Xenopus tropicalis: one gene and its partner. The protein of the gene in region 2 interacts with the protein of the main gene of each other region in a pairwise test. Links are inferred from orthologs where the notes say so. Each region holds a gene or a part of one and is shown on either strand. Other genes may lie near its edges.

Evidence for each region.
Region 1: the proteins of stam2 (region 2) and fam189a2 interact in a two-hybrid assay, tested with the Homo sapiens proteins (2 studies listed by BioGRID and IntAct). The two-hybrid records come from large-scale screens. The link is inferred for Xenopus tropicalis from reciprocal best matches to the Homo sapiens genes STAM2 and ENTREP1.

Annotation. Positions count from the first base shown.
Region 1 is NC_030677.2:129,494,086-129,497,743, reverse strand, and holds part of fam189a2 (protein FAM189A2), read right to left. Parts: intron 2,358-3,658; coding exon 2,282-2,357; intron 274-2,281; coding exon 127-273; intron 1-126. UniProt on the Homo sapiens protein: Functions as an activator of the E3 ubiquitin protein ligase ITCH in the ubiquitination of the CXCL12-activated CXCR4 receptor. Thereby, triggers CXCR4 endocytosis and desensitization, negatively regulating the CXCL12/CXCR4 signaling pathway.
Region 2 is NC_030685.2:75,879,025-75,882,682, reverse strand, and holds part of stam2 (signal transducing adapter molecule 2), read right to left. Parts: intron 1,817-3,658; coding exon 1,732-1,816; intron 1,594-1,731; coding exon 1,518-1,593; intron 699-1,517; coding exon 603-698; intron 1-602.

The sequences.
Region 1 (3,658 bases), on a different chromosome or scaffold from region 2:
CACTGGCAGTTTTGGGCACTATTTTGACCACACAATAAAATCACCCCTTGTGACGCAGGACTAAAGCACAACTTTTTTTACACAAGAATTTCCAGCTACTGCATATAACTGGTATTGGGCTATTACCTTTTGTGGGAAGGTCAGAGATGACTGGATCACTGTGTGATCTCTTCCTGGAAGGCATGTTTGGTAAGTCACTTTCCATTGCTTCATCAGTTTGTGCACTGGCCCCCAGTACTGGTTCTACGTCAACATTACTTGTACTTGAAGGTTCTGTATTAAATGAAATGTGGAAACGAAACAGTGGCTTTTAGGGGAATGTACAAAGCAACTATTGCTCATTATTTGAATAGTTTCTAAAAAGTTTTTTTTATGGTAGTAGTACAAACATTACAATTTTGTAATTCTAGAATCCACCGCAACCTGACACCATCAAACGAGGTCCAGTTTATTTTAATAAGTGTATAAAAAGTCACCATTCTATCAAGCAGAATTTTTTGCTTCAACACTATTAAAGAAAAAGTTTTTAGGAGCATGTACCAAAAACAGGTAATTAAATTTACTACACTGCCTGGCTTTTTGCATCCAGCCACATCCCAAATATTGTATCACAGGGCCCTGACACACGGGTGTTTGTGTATGTATGTATAACTTTATTTACATGGCCCTATCAGAGACACAGCACTGTACAATTTTATGGTATAGAAAGGCAGGGAGGGCTAACATTGAAATAGGTATAAATACACAGAGATTAAGTACCATGTGGTAAAACACAAAGGAGGAGAGAAAGAAGTCTTAGCCCTGTAGAGATTACAATCTGTGTGTGTTTATTGAAATGCAAGCTAAATACATAAAAAACTTTTTTTGCGTTTATATGCTTTTTTTCCTAAATTTCTAGGATTTAATCATACATCTCATACATACATACATACTATAATCCAGGGGTGTCAAACTCAATCACATAAGGGGGCCGAAATCTAAAACACAGGCTAAGTCGTGGGCCAAATTTTTTATTAATATACTTAATAAGATACTAAGGGGTATATTTATCACAATGTGTAAAAAGTGGAGTAAGACATTACCGGTGATGTTGCTCATAGCAGCCAATAGATGTTTTGCTACTGCTACTAAATCTGATTACGGATTGGATGCCTTGGGCAACATTACTGGTAATGCTTCATTCCACTTTTTACACAGCATGATAAATATACCCCTTAGTCTTAGTTACTATGTAAGGAAAATGGAAATTGATCAGGCTGGATGGTCAGACACACTCACCAAGGGCCACATAAAACAGCCAGGTGGGCCGGATTTGGCCCCCGGGCCTTGTGTTTGACATATATGCTATAACATATACTGAATGTGCATCAAACACATAAAGATGCATCATGTGTGAGAAATAAAACAGAAATGGCTTCGAACCTCCTCCTTCTCAAATGTCAAATGCATTTCAAATTATATATTCTTCCGAGATGTGGGTTTTTTTGTATGAGAAGACTGGGATACTATGGGCACCATGATGTGACTGTGATGATTGTTTGCAAAAAAAAACTGTCTGGAGGCTGCATGTCCTATACAACACCATTAAGAGAACTGGGGATAAAGAGGCAGATTTACTAAAACTCTATCTTCTCATTTTTTCTTTTTAAAAATTAGAATTTACTTATTTTCACAAATGTCTGGCATTTACTAAAAGGTTTGAACTGAAAAAGTACATGCGTAGAAAAGTCGCGAAACTGTAACTTATTTGAATTGTCGCTAGCAGATGCACTAACTGCAAATATCCATCCATATGGATGGATAGTTGGCCATATGCCAATCCTTAATTTTATTTTTAAATTGCAGCATAGTCAACAAAATCAAATTAATCACTTTTAGCTGTCATTTGACAAGGGCTTTGTTCAGCTGAGAACTAAGGATTCAGTAAAATCCAAATATTGCAAAGTGCCGGAATTTCAGCAAAATCTATTACTCACACAGTCATTAAACCCAGGGCTTATAATGGGTGGAGTTCAACAGGTGTATCAGGGGTATGTCTAGTTGTGAATGGTAAAATAGTATATTAAGTTAAACCTATAAATTACATGTTTTATTTATGATGGGTTCTATGTACGGCCTAAGTACCTAACTTGTTATTGTTATTTCTTTGCCATTTCCAGCACACAGCCAACAGGATAATGTTGGGGACTTGGCATCCCATATCGTTCCTTATCCTGAAATGACTACTTTGTCACTTATTCTGTAGCTTATAACAGGAGAGAACTTTGATTCTATAAGTTACCTGGGTTGACCTGAGCACCATGCAGTTCTGAAGATGTGCTGACTGCTGCTGTATCTGGGATTTGTACAGCTGTCTCCTGTGCCAGAACAAGAGTAATGGAAGGCTTGAGTCACATAATTACTCTTAATTATACAGCAAAACATCAAAACAATACCCTTTATGAAAGTGCTTGAATTCCATTTTAAGCAGGAAATATAAACAAACATAACTGGCTTTATTGAATATTGTGCTATTTCTACAAACACAGGAAAGCATATTGTCCTTTATAATTTGGCTCATTAAGATGTGCTTAAAAAGACAAAATAAACGTTTTTCAGAAATACTGAATACAATGTACAATTTTACAAACAAGGCTGGTTCCTTCACAGGTTCACTGGACTTCCTGCAGGTCCCATAGTTCTCAGCAAGTCTGTTTAAAGAAACAGTAACACCAAAAAATTAAAGTGTTTTAAAGTAACTAAAATATAATGTGTTGTTGCTCCGCACTGGTAAAACTGGTGTGATTGCTACATAAAGACTGCTATAGTTTATATAAATAAGCTGCTGTGTAGCCACGGGGGCAGCCATTCAAGCTGGGTAAAAAGGAGAAAATGCACAGGTTACATAGCAGATAATAGATAAGCTCTGTAGAATATAATGGGGGTTTATCTGTTATCCTGTGCCTTTTCTATTTTGAATGGCTGCCCCCATGGCTACACAGCAGCTTATTTATATAAACAATAGTAGTCTTTCTGAGGCAAACACACCAGTTGTACCAGTGCAGGACAACAGTGCATTATAATGTAATTTTTTTTATACGCTTTCATTTTTTTTGGTATTACTGTTCCTTTAAGTGTATGATTAACGATATGTTTCGGTGTCATTCTGGGGTAGCCACTTTTATATATAACATACCTAGAACCTTTACAGTGGAATCAATGCCAAGGAACAGCTGTGGGTTAGCAGTAACATCACAGCTTTAATCAGTATCTACTTTTACCCTTAAAGGCCTAGTATTGCCATAAAGTAAACTTTTATTTTTTTTTTTACATTTAAAGTCTGTATTTGTTTATCCAGCACCTATAAACAAGCAATTAATTGGCATCAGAATATCCCACTCTTTACTTAGTTTAGGTGCTATGTAAACATATTCCCTAGTGCTCTATTTCTGCTTGAATAGCTACATAACAAATGTATTTACCACTACAGTAGTAATGTTTCTAAAGCAAACACACTTTTTTTACTGGTTTAGGGTAAGGGAAATGTGTTTTTGTCTAGAAAACGCTAGTGTGGATTTTCTGGCTGAAATCCACCCTGTTTGCGCACTAATAAGCAGATCCTATTCATACTACAGGTATGTGTCAGTATCTACATTTTCTCAGCTGGCCTAGAACTCAC
Region 2 (3,658 bases):
AAATGAGCTGCTATATCAACACTAGGGCAGCCATTGAAGCTGGGAAAAAGGAGAAAAGGCACAGGCACATCGCAGATAACAGATAAGCTTTGTAGAATATAATGGGGTTTTATCTGTTATCTGCTAAGTAACCTGTGCCTTTTCTCCTGTAAATGGCTGCCCCCGTGGCGACACAGAAGCTTTATTATATAAACTATAGTAGTCTTTCCAAGGAAAACACACCAGTTGTACCAGTACAGGGCAGCATTACATTATATAGAAATTACTTTTATACACTTTCATTTTTTGGTGTTACTGTCCCTTTAATTTCAGCTCTGACCCAACTGTATTACATAAGCATATGGCACACAGAAGAGGGCACACAAGGGGCATGGCACAGGGCATGCAGGAAGCAGTACTGCTCCAATTTTAGTCCTTTAAATCCTTAAGTCCAATTTTGGAATTTTTAGTTTAATACAACCTGGAAGGCAATATACAGTACAGTATACAGAAGGCTGCTATACAGTACTAAGACTGGTCAGGTCTGACACTATCTGTATGAGGCATTCTAGTAAAACAAGAGAACTGACCAAAAACTAAGAACCAGTTACTGAAAAACTCACCTTTGAAATAACACCACGCACTTCACTAGCAAATTCTCTGGAGCAGATCTCTAAGTGAAAAGCCTTCCCACAGTTTGACACAGAGGCCCCCAACAGCTGGAAATGAAAAGCAGATTAAAAAAAAACATATATATAAAATAAATTCAAGCCCTGTAGCAACTGTTGAACTACAAGTCCCAGCAGCTCCAGCTATAAAGAGAAGTTGGAAAATGGACCCTTAAATTTGGTGTCAACTAGTCACTGCCGGTGCCTAACTAATAGGTGATTTAGGGGTTGCCTCTCCTTTAAAGGGGTAGTTCACCTTTAAATTAACTTTTAGAATGATGCAAAAATTGCTAAGACAGTCTGCAATTGGTCTTTTTATTTGTTATGGTGTTACAGTTATTTATAGTTTTTTAGCAGCTCTACAGTTTGGTATTTTAGCAGCTACAAGGTTGCTATGGTGCAATTTACCCTAGCAAACCAGGCAGTTGGGAATATAAATAGAGGAGACCCTATATATAAAGATAAGTAATTAAAAGTAACAATAACATTGTAGCCTCACAATAGTTTTTGGCAATAGTTTTTGGTTTTTGGGGGTCAGTGATCTCCATTTAAAAGCTGGAAAGAGTCAGAAGAGAAAGGCAAATAATTCAAAAACAATACAAAAAAAAATAATGAATACCAAGGAATGTGACATTCTATAACATACTAAAAGTTAGTTACTTAAAGGTGAACCACCTCTTTAATTCATGTACTAGAATATTAAAATCTATAAAGACATAATCTAAAGATGCCCGTAATCCACCTGCCTACACAATTCTAGAATATTTTTTATTTTATTTTTTGGTCAGTTCCCCTTTAAAAGTCCTTCTCTTTGTAAGTTCTTCTGTAATCACAGCCAATCAAAAAGTTGGCAAAGGGTCTTCCACTCACAGTCAGAGCCTGCAAAGCCACGTGTGGAACTTTGTGATTGACTCTCTTCATTATGGATCGGAGGCCATCTTTTGCACTGAAACGAGAAGACACAAGAAGGTACAGTCACTGTTACGGATTTAGCAAAATAAAAAAAAAAAATCAGATGCCTAATAACAGCTACTACTACAGCTAATAGGTAACAAGAAGTAGTAAAAATAATAATAATTCCTACCCATTTGGAGTGTTAACGATTTTGTCACAGATGTCCATAATAAGTCCCCAGTCTTCACTGGTGTTGTATTCATTTGTGGCCTTTTCTATAAAGTACAGAAAGATAAATATGAGTGATACAATAACACCAGCTGCACAACACTGGCATGAAATGCATCAGCACCATCTAATTCTGGCCACTAGAGGTGCTTTCCTATCATTTCCTAGAAAGGTGAAGCAAGAATTATGGCTGTAAACGTCATGGGGCTGCTGTACAGTTCTTTATAGCCCCCTAGCACAGGCAGGATAAGGTATGAAAAGTAAAAGCAAATCACTACATTATTATTACAAAATTAAATTATGTATCTTATTAAAATAGGCAAAATGTGTTTTAAATACAGGCACCTTTAACTTGGCTAATGTTGGACAGGTATATATGTATATCTATCAGTATATATATATATATATATCAGTAAAGTACTTATCAATGGAAAGCCAGTCACGGGACGGGCATTGTGCATGTAACTGCTATAAAAGGTTAGCTAAATAAATAAGCAGGGATTACTGGCACTATATATCACAAGAAATCCATGCTGCCCAACTTCATCCATGTGGCAAATAAATGGATTGGGGTGTGCTTAACGCATTGGCACCCTCAGGCAGACACAGTGCCTTGCAAAAGTATTCAGACCCTGGGCCGTTATTCTTATTTTACCAAACAAATCCCACACTGATATTTCATTATCTGATTTACACAGATAGGGGCTAAACTGCACCAGTGTGGTTCCTATAGCATCCAAATCAGATATGTGCTTTCATTTTCTAAGTGATAAAAAACCCATTGCTCATTTTTTGCTACTGGCACCTATCTCTGTAAATCAGACCTTCTGTAAACTGGACACTAGCACCCTATGGGCACCCCTGACTTGCGCCAACTGCATGTTTAAAAGGAAAACTATACTCCCAAACAATGTAGGTCTCTATAATAGTATACTGCATAAACAAACGCATATGTAAAACCCTGCTTCATCTAAATAAACTATTTTCATAAGAAGATACTTTTTTAGTAGTATGTGTTATTGGATAATCCTAAATAGAAAACTGCCATTTTGAGAATCAAGAGCCGCCCCCTGGGATCATAGGATTCACAGTGCACACAAACAAGCCAAGGCACACATACATGCTAGGCCCCATCAGCCAATGAATGGACAGAGTACTATCTTTTGCTTCCATGCTACTTCCTGTTACAGTTATATCTGTATTATTTCCTGTCAGCTGATCTCTGAGGGAGCACCGAGCCCATCACTAAAAGTATGTAATATGTGCAATATTTACTGATTTATATATGTATTCCAGTTTGGTGAGGTTCTTTAATAGGTCACTGACAAACTCTCTGTTGGTTAAGTACTCATTCTGGGGGTATAGTTTCCCTTTAAATCTTTCTGACGTTTTATCACAAAGATCGAATATGTTATTTGGTAAAATGAAAGAACTGGTCATGGGGATGAATAACTTTGCACAGGACTGGAATGTATTTTACAATATTGACCATACTTCCATAAGAACTTGGCTGGGTGCATGACACTCACACTCCCTGGCATGGGTGGTTTATCCCAGATATACTGCACTATTTATGTTCCTGGCTGATAGCAGTTCCAGCAGGTTATTCTTTAGCCTAGGTCACTTATTACTAGGTCTGCGTATCACCCATAACAAATATTTGCTTTGAAATGAACCTTCCCCCTTGGCATCCGAATAGCAAGTATCATGTAGCTAAATATACAGAATACAGAACTAGTTATTACCTGTAGAATATACGGTGTGCCTAATGATGTCAGCAGCGATGTCACTTCTGTCACAACATGCTGGAATTTGTGGACTCTAAGTGAATGTTCTCCAACTTGAAGTAACAAATTACACGCAATACCATAGCGTCGGGGTTTGTTTAA